Notamacropus eugenii: one gene and its partner. The protein of the gene in region 2 purifies or fractionates together with the protein of the main gene of each other region. This does not show direct contact. Links are inferred from orthologs where the notes say so. Each region holds a gene or a part of one and is shown on either strand. Other genes may lie near its edges.

What was found. Proteins that work in one complex are often made in the same cells at the same time.
Region 1: the proteins of PINX1 (region 2) and TERT purify together in Homo sapiens (co-immunoprecipitation; 3 studies listed by BioGRID and IntAct, with this or other methods). This does not show direct contact. The link is inferred for Notamacropus eugenii from reciprocal best matches to the Homo sapiens genes PINX1 and TERT.

What each region holds. Positions count from the first base shown.
Region 1 is NC_092875.1:345,754,036-345,761,800, forward strand, and holds the start of TERT (telomerase reverse transcriptase), read right to left. Parts: upstream 3,076-7,765; 5' UTR 2,852-3,075; coding exon 2,558-2,851; intron 427-2,557; coding exon 1-426. UniProt on the Homo sapiens protein: Telomerase is a ribonucleoprotein enzyme essential for the replication of chromosome termini in most eukaryotes. Active in progenitor and cancer cells. Inactive, or very low activity, in normal somatic cells.
Region 2 is NC_092872.1:610,371,735-610,379,658, forward strand, and holds the start of PINX1 (PIN2/TERF1-interacting telomerase inhibitor 1), read right to left. Parts: upstream 3,027-7,924; 5' UTR 2,710-3,026; coding exon 2,691-2,709; intron 1-2,690. UniProt on the Homo sapiens protein: Microtubule-binding protein essential for faithful chromosome segregation. Mediates TRF1 and TERT accumulation in nucleolus and enhances TRF1 binding to telomeres. Inhibits telomerase activity. May inhibit cell proliferation and act as tumor suppressor.

The DNA of each region.
Region 1 (7,765 bases), on a different chromosome or scaffold from region 2:
TTTTTTCTGGAAGGAAATCTTCTTTCTGACATTGTCAAGTGAGACATTTGGTTCCTCCTTCGGATATTTTTTTCGCAAGAACCCAGATGGAGAGACAGAATCTTTTAAATTGAGTTCATAGATAGGTAGCCCAGAGATCTGGTAAGAGCAGGTTGGGGGTACCATCATGAAAATGGAACAGTGCTCTAACATATACATCATCACATCATCTCCTATCCTGCTTAAAAGTATCTCCCACAAGGCACTGACACTAATTGTTTCTGTTACTGTGTTAGGGTGATAGTTGTAGACGTTTGTGGTAAACTTAACTGGCAATGGCATTCTATTTTCCTCTAAAAGGGTGTATCCAAAAGCCAGAATATTCTTTTTTTTCTTTTCACAAATCCTCTGGACAATTCTAGCAACTACTTCCTTCTGGGAAGACAGCTAAAGAAAGAAAAAAATTCAAAATTGCTGATGGCAGTTTTTTCCAACTTTCTAAATAATATTCATAAGGTGATCCTGGGACCAAAATTCATCTCAATGTTACTCAAAGCAGAGAGCCAATTCAAAACTACATTCAACAACATTTTAAAGTTTCTTCCATATGCAGGGCACCAGGCTAGAAGAAACTAGAACCATATCCCCTTGAAAGTAGATTAAAGAAAATATAAGTCAATCAACAACCATTTTAAAGGCACCAACCATGTGCCAATGCTGGGGATAGAAAGGCAAAATATAAAGCCTGCTTTCAAGGGTCTCACATTCTAATGGAGAGACATAATCCTTTCCCTTGTATTCTACAGGGAGTAAGACAACCTATACATTTAAGTATATCGATAAATAGAAAGCAATTAAACAAAAGGTAGTTTGGGAATGAGTTCACAAATTAGCAGCTGGGAGAAAGCAGAAAGATTTCCTGAACAGGATGCTGCTCAAGGCACATTGCGAAAAAAATAAGGGATGGTACAAGACAAAGGTAAGGAAGGAGTGCATTCCAGACATGAAAGATAATGGCCAATTCAAAGTCCCAGAGAAGGAAAATGGAATGTTTGTGTAAACAATAGAGAAAAGTCTAGTTAAGCTTCACCCTAAAGTCAGGCAAATGGAGTAATGCATAATGAGGATGGGGCCAGGTTGTGAAAGGCCTTAAAAAGCTCCATAAAAGAGTTTACATGTTCTAGAATGGAAGGTGGAAGTACCAGAGAGCCCGTAGAGTTTACTGAATAGGAGAGTGCCAAGATCAGATCTGAGCTTATAAAAAAATCACTTTTGTGGTGACTGTGTGGAAAACGCATGCAAAGGGAAAGAAACATGAGGGAGGGAGATAAAAGATAAGGCTATCATAATGGTTCAGGGAGGAAGTGATAACTTTGTAAATAGAAATGGAAGGAGGTTGTAAAGGTAGAAATGGTGGGACCTAGAAAGTGATTGGATATGTGGTGTGGTGCTAAGGTTATAAACCTGACATGCTAGAAGAATAGTAGTATCCTCAACAGAAATAGGAGTGGGTTTTGGGGAAGAGGTAATGAGTTCTGTTTTGGATATGAGCTTGAGATGTCTCTGGGACGTCCAATCTGAAACATCCAATAGGCAAGGAGCGATGGAATTCAACAGAAACGCTGGGACTTGAATATTTCGTTTTACTAGATGATGGAGTCACCCAATGAGAGAAGAGGGCCCATAATATGGCTCTGGAAGACACCCACACAGGGGGCGTGCCCAGGATGAAGAACCAGCAAAGCATCCTGAGAAGGAATGGTGGTTAGGTTAAGAGGAAAACCAGGACAGAGTGTTTTTTACAAAAATTGGGGACGGGAGGATAGTCAACAGTGTCCAATGACACAGGTCAAAAAAGATGAGTCAAGAAAGCCCCCAGATTTGGTCATTAAGAGATCACTGGTAACTTTAGAGAAAGCAATTTCAGTCCCTGTGATGGGATCCAAGGCCATACTACAAAGGTCGAGAAGAGAATGAGAAAAGACTGTAGAAGGATTTTTCCAAGAGTCTAGCTGAGAACGGGAGAGGAGATATAGAGCAATTAAATGCTAGAGGAGATAATAAGGTTCAGAGAGTTCTTTAAGAATTGGGGAACCTTGGGCACATTTGAAAGCAACAGGGAAGGAATCAACAGATAGGGAGAGATTGAAGGTTAAGGAATGGGGGGGAGGGGGTGGAAGGTGCAATCTATAAGAGAAAAACCCGGGGAATGGAATCTAAGAGCACAGGTAGAACGGCTGGCTTTGGCAGGAAGGGCTCATCTCATCACAGAGAGAGGTGGAAAGTAAGAGGTGACTTCCGCAGGGAAGGTATGTGGAGCTTAAGGACAGCCTGAAGATGCTTCAGTGGGGAGTGGAACAGGAAATTACCTATGGAGAAATGAAAGGTAGAGTCCGAGCAGCCCAAGGTGTTAAATGACTTGCTTCCCTGAAACAATTGGAGTATTTAATCCAAATACTCTCTTGGTCGAGTGGGTAGAAAGGAGCAGGCCCCCCGCCAACCGCCAGCCACTGAGGAAGCCCCGAGTTTCGGTCCGATACTCCCACCCCAGGGCTCCTGGCAAGGATGCATGCATTACCTGCCGGAAGGTGAGAGGCCTGGGGAGGGGCCGGGCACCCCACGGCACACACACCACACAGCCGGACACAAAAACCTGGAAGACCTCGGGATCCCCGCTGCGCAGGAGCCGCACGGCTACCTGCTGGTCCGGCCGGTCCCCCGGAGCCCGCGCGGTCCGCGCCTCGTCCTCGAGGCGCTGCACGAACTCCGCCAGCCCCAGCACATCCCGGTAGCTGTCCCGCAGCACCTCGCGCACCGGGCGGAAGGCCGCCGAGGCCAGCAAGGAGCGCGGGGCCGGGGGCCGGGAAGCCATGGTGCGCGAGGGCCCGGGAGGGTGGGCGCCGCCGCTCCTCCCGCTGCTGCACCTGCCTGCGCTGCAGCTGCCACCCAGAGAGCAGGCTAGGAGCCCGCCGCGGAGGCAGACCAAGGGGCGGCTGGGAGCGGCGAGGCCGGGCGAGGAGGGTAACCCGGGGGAGCCCGAGCTGGGCTGCAGCCCGCAGCGGGGCGGGGCGGGGAGAAGAGGCAGGCGGAAGAGGAAAAGGGGAGGGGGCTTTGGGGCGTCTGGGCTCTTAAAGGGACAACAGCGCCTGGGAAAAGACTAGAAGGTGTCAGGAAGGATTCTGGAGCCCAATTGTTAATTTTCATTTACACTTTCTGGGAGAAGCCATATTTGATAATTCAACATTGTTAATTCAATGTTGGGGGAGGGGGGAGTCCTTAAGTACCTACTAAGTACCTATCTATTAAGCACCTACTATGTGCCACTCATTTTGTGCTAAGCACTGGGATAAAATCGAAGAATCTCAATCTTCAAAGGAGCCACCAAGCTCCACCTAGCCCATCCCAAACCTGAAAAAAGTTCCCTCTGCAACATTCTCTTTCCTACTGTGACTTTGTAACAGGCGTAAATGTTGCCTGTTACAGCTGATATTCCCTCTATCTTGATTCTTTACTATCTTTGTAAAACCTGCGCTCAGGAAGGACCAGCACCTCGGTGTGAGGGCTGACGGATGACTTTTCTGGGCTGCTCCTTCACGTTTGATGTCCACCTTCACCAACTCTCACCTGCATCTCCAAGAAGCTGTAGCATGCTCAGCAGCCACATCAGCAGATGGGCTAAACCAAGTTGAGGATAAGTGACAGGCCTCAAGCTGGTTGGTGAGTTGGGAGGGGCGGGTGTCTACCCCATGCACATGAAGACTTCCCAGGGCTGAAGGGGCCCATGAGAACAATTTGGTCCAAGGGCCATGAAGATAGCTGAACCAGGTGCTTAGATTGCTCAAGTATCAAAGAATCAAGATTATCCACTGCATCCATCTCCAGTCATCTTAACTTTCCTCTTGCCACTGGACTTTGATGACTGGAAGAGACAGCGAGGCTGTTGTCTTTGCAACCTGTCTCACTTAAATTCAGTTCACACCGGGAGTCAAAACAGCACCCCATGATGTCATTGGTCTTCTTCTAAGGACAAACAACTGTTCAGACCCAGATAGACACACCCATTCTCTTTGCTCCTATCTATTCCACCAGCCCAGCTTATGTGGTCAGTGTGGAAAACTAGTCTCTCTTTCCAGGATAAGAAGCTTTGTTTATAATGAAATAACTAATGGAATGAATTTAAACATTTATTGAGCACTAACTGGTAGCAGAACACTATACTAAGTACCTAAAAAATTGAAAAACTTATTTATCCCTTTTGTTGAGGGAATATACCATGCACTGGGGAGAAACAATGTATGCATATGAAATGATATGAATACCAAGATATGATGCATTTCTTGAACTTTCAAAATGAAATAAGTATTCTGAAATTCTCCATGTTTTCCTAGGGGAAAATTTGAATAAGAATTCTAGACATTTGATATGGAAAGTACGTCAGAAGTGTTCTAGCCCAGCCTACAGTTGGTTATGAATTCCCAAGATAATTTCCACATCACTTGAATGCCATTATTGATTTTGGTTATGTTACCATCTACTCTGCTACACCATCCCTGGCACAGCACCCTTGTAACCAGATTTCTAAAGACTGTGTCTTGAGTGGTTAATCCCCTCTGCTTTGGAGCTCCATCCTGAGCTCAGCTCTTCTGACAGGTATATGAAGCACAAATTCACCTATCCTACTGTCTCTAGCCAGCCCCTAGAATGAGACTGCTTGGGGCAGGGATAGCTTTATGGCCAATCTCAGCAGGAAGTAGCTATGAAAGAAGAGACTTTTGCCCCTTACCCCAAGATTTTGGGCCGCATTTGCTGAGAGGGAATGAAGGGGGTGCTTATGCTCAAACTAGAGTCCATGAACCCATTATCATAGCCTCATTCACTATTGCTTACTGTTTTCCAATTTGCATTCCCGGGGTCATCATTCTGGCTAGAGGTACACCCTCTTCAATCTGAGCTGGGACCCGGCCAACTCCCCATTCTCCCTACAGGTGTGATGAACCTGGATACAATGTTTCAGAATGATCTGCAGGGGCAGCTCCTACCTCCTTGCTCAGTCTAAAACCAATCTTCTATCTACGATACATTTTATATAGTTCATTAGTTGGAATGCCATCTGTTCTTCCAAAATCTACTCCTGCTCTCAACAGAGCAACAAAACTCTTTCCTTATCAATCCTCTCTGACCTTGAATCCACTGGCTATTCATTCCTCTGTCTCCAGAAAACCTATCTTTTTCACTAATTCTCACCATCCAAAGTACCAATGATTCTCTCATCTTTTGGGTGAACCAACTCAAAACATCTGTGACGTCCTGCTGAGAAAAATCCTTAGTTACCTCCTACCTACCTTTGGGGAGGTAATTGTGGAGGAACCCTGATTCCCCTGCTTCCTTCTTAATACTGGCCCAACTTCAGCCACCTCACTTGTTTCATTCTCCTTCCACACATCCTCCTGGCCTGTGTTTAAGCCCGAATCAAATCCAGCCTGCACAAGGGCTGCCTTCACTTTCCTATTGTTAACTTTTCGCCTCCTGTGAGACAAACCAACAACAACCTTCTCTTCTACCACTGGAAACTCTCCAGCTTCCTCTCCCAAGGGCAGCCCGAACACTGCTGGACAAAAATTCTCTCCAGCCAATTCCCTTTCCATCTGAGCCTTCTCCTCCAGCAGCCCATCTCACAGCATTTGCATACTGTGAGAGACAGCGAAAGTTAAGTTTCCACAACAAGTTATTGTTAATTGATGAAGTCATTGAGAATAAGATAATAAGAAGACCATCGGACAGTGGCCTTCAGAAAATTACAAAGTTTTTGATAAAGGAACCAAATCTACAGCTAGCTGGAACTAGCCAAGAAAAATGACCTAGAGTTACCTAGAGAAGGCTTTTCTTTACTGCATTTGCTTAATGAACTTCATGCATATGCTTAAGCAGACACACCCTGCATAAAATTATCCCTCCATTTTCTGATCATGGGTCCCATGTTAGAGCATGTTTGGGAGGGGGAATCATACTAAAGGGGGTTACATAATGGACATGCAGAGAAGAGGTTGACCTAAGGGAGGATGGACCCATCCATCTCCTGGTGGGAGTATTTGTCTTGAACTAATGGTATATAGTTCATTTCACTTCTGTATTCAGTGCTCTCTCCTCCTGAAAAGAGGGTGGGGGCCCACTTTGGCCAAAATGATCAATTCCTCTGAACTCTGCAGCAATACATTTTACTTGATACCTTAGTGTCAAGAGTGTCTCTAATACATACAATTCGAGGCAAAAATGGTTTTTTCTTTTCTGAGTCTCCCTGGCCCTCACTACACCCTAGCCCTCACTACACCCTAGCACATAAGGTTCCAGCCATCTTCTGGAGTCCTTCATCCAGAGCTTAGCAAAGCCCTGCCTCTCCTACATAACCCTGCCATTTCTTTCCCTGGTGCCTTTGTTATTCCCTGGAAATATATTTCCAACTCTCTGGGTTCTCCTTTCTGTAGCCTCAGTTCCCAGTTTTCACAAAGTCCTGTGCCCTTAGCACATTCTCTTTCTGGGGCAGAACAAAAATCCTCCCACCCTGGGATGTCCATTTGTTCCTCTGACTCCTCTGCCTTTTTGCCTCCAAATTGAGGTCAGATATTTCATTATCCCATCCCCATGACCATTTGTAGTGCAAATGTAATATTCACAGCACCCAGGGCAGCCATGAATATCATAGTGCAATTCAGAATAGCAAAATACCACAGACTATCTAGGTGGAAAGCAGAAACAAAACATTTATTCAGACCCAAATCCATCACAGCAATGAAAATTTATACACAATAACAATGTAGAGGACAACACCATCCCCAAACCATCCCCCTGCTAGGCTTCCCACAAACCAGGTCCATTATACTCATCACAAGCAGGCTCTCAAACAAACTCACAATCACAAAATCACTCATGCTACCCAGGAGCCAGCATCCTTCCTAGCAGTGACTCTCAAGACTTACTTCCTCTCAGCTCTACTCTAGCTCCCCCTCTTCTTGTTCCACTCCATTCAGCAAACTCCTCCCACCACAAGCTCCATGGGACTTAATGGGCCTATTAATGAATAGGAAAGATTTTCCAATTCAAATTATCATTACACTTCCTCAGGAACAAGTAATGCCTGTCTAACTTTAGTTCCCATTTCTACTAAACTGGAAGATCTTGGAAATGCCACAGATAGAGCTTACCTGAATTTTAGCCAAATAGTTGTTAGGATAGAGTACGTCATGCTATTCTTGTGGGGGAAAAAACAGAAAGGAAAGCCACTTCACTGGTGTCGAATTCAAATAAAAGTGGGGTCACTAAAATGTGCATAAGGATCCCTGCCCACATATTGATTTAGAAAACCACAAAATAATATTATCTATATTCTACTGTATTTTTTACTTATTTTGTAAAGTATTTCCTCATTACGTTTTAATTTGGTTTCTGCCATATTGGCATGTTGCTGCAAGGGCTATAGGTCACATGCTTGATACCCAGATGATAGTACAATTAGATGGACTGAGAACTGATTAAATGGCCAGACTCAAAGAGTGGTCATTAATGGTTCAATGTCAACTTGGAAGGAGGTTCCCACTGGAGTGCTCCAAGAATTTATGCTGGATTCTGTGCTAAGATTTTTATTAGTACATGAATAAAATCGGAAACAGAATCCTTTTCAAATTTGCAGATTACACCAAATGCAGAGCAATAGCTAGCACACTGTATGACTGAGTCAGGATCCAAAAAAGAATTTGACATTATAGAACATTGGGCTGAATCTAATGAAGGG
Region 2 (7,924 bases):
TTCTAGCCTGTTGTAAGCCTGGAAATTAAATAACTAAACTTGTTAAAACTAGATGTAAAATAAAAGTAGCCTCTGAATAAGGGCTTAAGTCACTCCCCTATCAATAAAGTATATAAGCTTTCAATGCATGAACTTTTAAAAAATCAATTACAACCCTTCAGAGGACTTTTTCTTTGCATACTTCCCATCTCTTGCCCGTATTTTGAATAGGAAAGGCTGCCAAATGGCTGTTCCAGATGAGTGAGATGCTACACAGCCACTAAAAATGGGACTAAAAAAATACTAAATGTTAGAACAATCTAGATTTTTTTTTTGCTAATCATAAAGCACTAAACTTTACTGAGGCTGGAACCATATTTTCTTTAAAATTTCTAACAACACTATCAAGTAAAAGTTATATGCAAAGGTGAACACAGTGGGATTGAACGGGGGAGTTTCAGGATACCTGACCATCATTTCTAGCTTCACAGCAGCTGAGTGAAGCTAGAAATATCTGTTCCTGTCTATGTTTCAGTTTCCTCATGTATAAACAATGTTAATGCTGGCCCTGCCTGGCACATTGGGAATATAAGACCACCTTGAAACATAAAAGTATAACATGGCACACTGTAGTGACAGTCTTGGACATAGAGTCAGGAAGATGGGGTTCATATTCTTCCTCTGAAACTAGTTGCATAACCATGAACAAATCTCTGGACCTTGGTTTCCAAATATGTAAAATGAAGATGCTAATAATAACTGCACTGTGCAGTTGTGAAAATGAGGCACTATGAGTAAAGCCCTTTACAAATCTTGAAGTGCTATATAAATATCAACAGTAACTGTAATTATGTAACATAAGTGTTAAATACTATTATACAAAATCTTCCCAATTCAGTCCATTTGGCAGGAGGTCCAATATTCTAGCTAAGTATGTATGCATTGAAGCAGGACAAAAATACTTCCACACAGAGGTATCTATTTATACACAACCCAAGGCAAGTGGAACCAGCACTAGGCAAACTGGTGAGTGGCCTTTGACCCCTTTTTCTTCTGAGGGCCACTAAGGTACAAGAGGCAAAGTGGTATAGTAACTTCAGAGATGGGAGAAGTCAAAGGCACATCAAGTCAGGTATGTGAAAGAAAAAAGCCAACACTTTCCTCTCTGAAGACTTCAAAAGAAAAAGTAAAGGGATGAAGAATTAGTAACAGTTTAGGTTGAGTAACAGAGGAACAAGTTCTCCAAATTGTTTTTCCTTAAAAGCTTGTTCTACACATTTATCACTTTGAAATAGCCTCATTAAATGTTACCTAATTTCTTATGCTCTATCCTGCCATTCCTTATTTTCTAAATTCAGAACTAAGAATTATTTTCTGAGTTTTCTAGATCTACCTTAATACACTGGCAACAGTCAAATATAAGTTGAATGTTCTTAAAAATTAGAAATTCAACTTGAAACTATCACGTGATATTTGTAGCTGTTTTACAAGTTCAGAATGGCAATTTCAGCACTATATTCCTCCACACAGTGCCCAGCGCAAAATAGATGCTTAATTGATTGATTGATTTTAAGTGCATGGTGAGGGTATTCTTTGCCAAATCAAAGACACCACTGCCACCTGGTGGCAGTATTTCCCAATGCCCACTCTGGACGGTTGTTTCCCAAGCCTGAGAAACCCCCCCCCTCCTTTTATGGGTGGTCTTCCCCCAGTAGAATGTAAGTTCCTTGAGTACAAGGTGCGGTTTTCCTTTTCCTTTATTTAAATTCCCAGTCCTAGCACAGTGTCTGGCACAGAGTAAGTGCTTAAATGCTTGCTGACTTACAAATCGTTTTTAATTTTCGGTGTAAGACACTTCACTGCATCCTGTTTAACCCCACAGCTCTGACGTCGGGGCTGCTCCTTCACTTGTGGTGCCCACCTCCACCCCACTCTACACCCAGATGAGGATAACTGACAGCTGTCAAAGCCATCTCCCTAAAGCACCGTGCGAACCATTCCATCTTCTCACTTCCATAAACTCCAGAGACAACTTAACACCTCCAGGAAGCTGCCCCTGCCCCTCCCAAGCTTCCGACATCTCCAAACACATACTCTGCAATCCAGTGTCCTTCAAGGAGACGCTCCCGTCTCCCACCTCCGGATGTTTTCACGGGCAGACCCCCACGTGGGGGACCTGCATCTCCTCACCTCCACCTGCGCGCTCCCTTCGAGCACCAGCTCAACGCCCGCCTTCCACAGGACACCTTTCCGATCCCCCTCAATTCTAGAGCCTTCCCTCCGTGGATCAGCTCCAGTGTATCCTGTCTACGGCTTGTTCGGACATAAACGTCCGCATGCGGTTCCCCCCACCCTACCGTGAGCGGGTCAGGGGCTGTCCCCGTGTTTAGCGCCGTGGCTGGTCCCACTGGACAGGTGGGAGAACTGAGGCTGATCTGCCCAGGCTCGGCCGGCTGCTAAGAGTGAGGCAGGTCACCTGACTCCAGGTCCAGCGCTCCATCCCCTAGGTGCCTCGGACGTAGGCCGGATAGAGGCCACGGGAGTGACAGAGCCCACCAGGAGGCACGGGAAGGTGACGTGACCACTGCGGGGCCGGGATTCACCGGGGAGCCTTCCACGGGCGCCCCTGCATGGACACCAGGACTTCGGCGCGACTTCGAGCCCTCGTCTGCTCAACCCCCCCGGGCGCCCCCCGAACAGGGGGAACTCACGTTCAGCCAGCATCGCCATTCTGGACAGCCCAAACGCCACGGACGCCGGCCCTGGACCACCACGCCGGAAGACAGACGAGCTAAGGGTCAAGCCCGCCTCTGGGAGCCCGACTGGCTCCAGAGACCAGAAGCTGCACGCGGCTTCCGAGGTAAAGCCGGCAGCGGCGGCGCGAGATGATGACGACACAGGAGCGCGACGAGCTCACGCGGCCGTCTGTGGAGGGAAGAGCCCTGAGAGGAGGAAGGCAGGGCCTGAGGGAAGGAGGGCGGGACCTGACGGAAGGAGGAAGGAAGGCGGGGCCTGACGGAAGGAGGGCGGGACCTGAGAGAAGGTGGGAGGCGGGGCCTGAGGGAAGGCGGAAGGAAGGCGGGGCCTGAGGGAGGGAGGGAGGGAGTCGGTGGGTCGAGGAGCGTACAATGCTCTTTATCAGACTCCCGAGCCGGGAGCCCCCTCACTTTGCACTTGGGGAAACTGAGCTTAAGCGACTTGCCCAAGGTCATAGAACAACTACTAATAACAGCCAGTATTTATAAACCTAATCAAGGTTTTCAAAGAGCTTCACAAATATCTCATTTTACGTTCACAGCAGCCCAGTGAAGGAGGTGCTGTTATAGCCCTGTAAAAATACGAGGAAACCGAGGCAGACTGAAGTTAAGCGTCATGCTGCTGAGGCAAAGTTGGAACCCAGCTCCATCTGACTCCAAATCCAGGGCCTTATCCACTAGGTACTAGGTCAGTAGTATTCTTTTTTACTCCTTGATTTAAGACTTTCAAAGTTCTTTACATGCCTTAAAGATCCCATGTGATGATGTACTTTACAATAACCCTAATGTAGGGGCTATTTTTATTATGTTCATTTTACAGATGAAGAAACTGAGACTTAGCGAGCTTAAGTGCCTTGCTCCACACAGCTAGGAAGTGTCTGAGGTAGGATTGGAACCCAGGTCTTCCTGATTCTGAGGGTGGTGCTCTATCTGGCTATCTGCTGGAAAACCTGTCTCTTAAGAATGTGGGGAATTGTCTTTGGAGGGGAGAGTGCCCACTGACCTCTGGAGGGGGAGTGAGGTCAGCTGATGTTTTTGATACTTTGAACCGTAAGATAGTAACAAAACAATAGTAACATTGTCGCCTAGTTAAGATTCCAAATCTGGCTAGCGTAGGTTTTGAACCTCTCAGCACTGTCAGCAGAAGAGGGGCCGCTGGTGATGTGGGATCAGCCTAGGTGTAATCAGGTTAAGTGGCGGCTAGACTCCATACAGTAAAACTTTTGGGAAATTGTACCTTATTAGATCTAGCAGAAAGAAACTGACAAGGATACAGGACTCAAGGAGAAAGCCATCTAGTGGCAACAACTAGTATTTCACTCTTTTGCTGGATGACCACTTTTGTGGGTAAAGTCCTTCAATCTTGTTCAACTCTGCGTCCCTATGCCCTTGTCCGTGGGATTTTCTTGGCAAAGATACTGGAGTGGTTTGCCATTTCCTTTTCAGGTGTGTCCCCATTTTACAGTTGAGGAACTGAGACAAGCAGGGGTTAAGTGATTTTCCCAGGGTCTCACAACTAGCAGTGTGAGGCTGTATTTGAGCTCAGGTCTTCCTGATTCCAGGCCCAGTGCTCTATCCACTACACCACCTAGCTGCCCTAGATAATCAACAGAGTAACAGATTGCTTTTCTCTAGTATTAAGTACAGCGGCTCTTGAGAAGATGTGGTTCATTGTCAGTAGTGCAGTACCTGCAAGTGACTCATGGTTCATATGCAACGGGTTTAATACAGACCACAGGTTTCACACTAGCTGAGGTTTGGGTATCTACAGAAGACTTCTAAGTGACTTTTAATGACAAGGAGAATATCAAGCTGACCAGATGCTTTTGAACATACCCAGCAAGTCTTATGATGTGAGCCACTGTACCTTGCTCCTTATGCATGAGACTAGCAACAGGTAGTTATTATAGGAAAATGTGTCCGTACAAATAGGGAGATAAGACATATACTAAAAAGTGTATATTCAATCCAAGAAATATTTTCTGAAGCATCTACTACTGTCTCACAATTTATCAGATGGTGACCTCCTTGAGGTCTGGGACTATCTTTTGCTTCTTTTCATATCCCCAGCACTTAGCACAGTGCCTGGAGCATGGAAGGTACTCAGTAAAGATTGATTAATACCAGGTAAAATACAATGGGCCATCAAAAATGAAAAAGACAGTTCCTGCAAGAGGGTATAAGGTACATAAATATAACAAAAGTAAGAATGAGAAAAGCGGAATTTGGGGGGGGAGGGGTTGGTTCAGACCTGTATAGGAAATTCTCTAGCCCAAAGGAAGTTCTCTCTACATTAATTTATAGTCTTAGCTACTTGGAAGCACTGAGGCACATGTCTGTGCCAGGGACAGAATTTGAATCCATGTCTCCTTGACTCTAAGGTCTGCCCTAGAATTATTGTGCTATGATGTTTCTCAAGGCAAAACCATAGGCAAGGACAATAGTACAGGTCTGAGTTGTGGTGATAGCAGTGAAACTGGAAAGGGATGTACAGATGCAAGAGATAATACAGAGACTGAATGAACAAGACTTGGGAATTTATTGCATGGAGGAGAATCAAAGTAAATGAATCAAGGATGATACTGAGGAGGTTGGTGGTACAATCAATAGAAATGGGGAAGCTAGAAGGAAGGGCAGGATTTTGGGTAGGGTATAGAAGGGCAGATGGGTTTAGTTTCAAATATATTGAGTTTTGGGCTTAGATGAGATATTCAGGTACAAATGTCCAAGATCTGTTTAAAATTTGAGACAAGTTTAGAGGAGAGATTGAGGGTCAAAACAGAGATTTGTGAGTCATCTGCTTAAGAGTGATAATTGTAATTATGGAACTGTGTGAGGTTGTTAAGGTAGAGAATGGTTTAAAATGAATGTTAAGATCTTTTTTTACATGTAATTGGAAAAATTAAAATATTGTTTTGAAAGAAGAATGACTTTCCCCACCCTTTCACTTCCCCCATTGATAAATGGGAGAGGCAGGAAATTAGGAGACAGTTTCAGTTGTCCAATTCCATCAGTCAACAAGTATTAAGATCTACTATGCTAGATGTTTTGGGATATCAGTATAAAGTACAAACAATTACACACAAGGAGCTAACATTCTAACGAAAGAGTCCAAGTATGTATCCAATCTAATCCAATCCAACATTTATTAAGTGCCTCCTATGTGCCAGGCACTGTGCCAAATATATATGTGTATGTATGTATGTATACATATATATATATAAATATAAAATTAATAAATACAAAAGTATCTAACTGCAAAATATAACTATATTTACTTACATATAAATTATTAAGTACAGGGTGGCTTGGGAAGGAGGGCACTAACATTTGCAGCTAGGAGAACAGAAGTATGTCTTGCACATTCATAGTAAGAGCCTTAAAGTGTGTGTGTGTGTGTGTGTGTGTGTGTGTGTGTAAGTAATATGTTTTTATTAGTTAAGGGAACTCCTTATGACAGGTTTAAGTTGTATTGCACACCAACACCTTCTGCAAATGACTAGTTTAGGCAATTGCCTGGGGCACTGAAAAGTTAAGTGGAATTCATCAGAGAAAGAACTTGAACCTAGGCCTTCTTGATTCTGAAACTGGTTCTCCATCTACTCTCCCAAGCTGCCTTTCAGTAAGAGATTGAAGGGATGATATGGATAGGTTTCCACAGGGAGAAAAAATAGGAAAGGCCAGGAACGAGCAGCAATACACCCCTGTGGGGAAGGCAAAGAGTGTTGATGGAGGTAAAAAGGCCTAAGAATGGGGGGGCAGGGAGGGAGGTGGGAATGTTACAGTGAGAACATTCTGGTAGTCAAATGAAAGTAGTGGATCAGTTTAATCTAGTCAATGTTTGTTAAATTGTTAAATTGAACTGTTAACTGAAAAGCACAGTGGTAGAAGAGAAACAGAGTTAATGAGTAAGGAGAAATGATCAAGCCCCATTTGTAAAATAGGGTAGGGTAAAATTAGCCTAAAACAGAACAGAGTAGTCTTCTCCCATATTATCTAATTATTTTCCATGTATTCTGCCCTTGGAGTTGCTACTCTTAATCAAGCTAAAAAAAGTGTTCTGCTACCTACGCTTAACTTGAATATTTTTATTTGATCAAATCTGCTAAGTACAGTGCTTTTCAGTAAAAGTAGTCCTCAGACTTTTTCAGTTTCCATACCACATCAACAATAAAAATAATAATAGCTAACGTTTATATAGCATTTCATATATATGTAACTTGTGTGTTCTGGATCATTTCCCAAAGCCAGGCAGTGGATTTGCAGTCATAGCTTCTCTACTACCAGAAGCAAAACCCACTCTACTGTATTCCTCCTCCTCTCTCCCCACAATTGTTAGATACCAATAAATAGTGCCCCACTTAACATCAATTAGCTTTTACAAAGGAATATTTACTTTGAAAGTGCAACAAGAACCAACACTTTCCCTGGTATCTTAGAGGTATACTCTTCCCTATACTCCTTCAGTCTCAAGGAGAGTAGGCGTATAGGGAGACTAAGTCTGAGAGCAGCTCATACTTAGCTCAGTTCCTACATCATGTTGGTCCCACCACTGTGTGCAAAGGTGGCAGCATTGCCAGATGAATACTTGTCACAGCTGTCATGAGGCTGGGGTCCTGAAGGATACTCTGGAATGCAATACCAGGATGGTGTCATCCTCCAGACCTCCTAGAGCTCTGACGCTAAGAACACGACTGACACTGCCACGCCCTTTTGAATGCTTCCTCAGTAAACCAAAGAGGTTCCTCTTTCTCGGGCAATAAGCTGATGGAGAACCATCTCCAGTCATCCTGATCTGTATCTTGCCACTTGACCCACATGACTCTGGAGGAGAAAGTAAGGCTGGTGACTTTGCACAGCCCTCCTTCCCTTAAATCCAATTCACTTGCAACTCAAAGACATTACCTCTGATGTCATGGTCCTCTTCTGGAATGAAGGACAAACAAAGCTGATTGGAACCAGTTATTCAATGTCCTGACACACTCCACAGTCTCTTTCAGGATCTTCATTTCTATGTCATCATGACTCTCCTAGAAGCAGGAAGCAGGTTTCCCAGCATCTCCACATGGGGAAAACCTTTAGAGGCCTTGTGAACTTATTCCTTATTACACATGTATCAGAATTGCTAATGATTAGTTAACTGCAAAAAAAAAAATGTTGAATTTGCATCTTAGTCATTCAATTGGTAT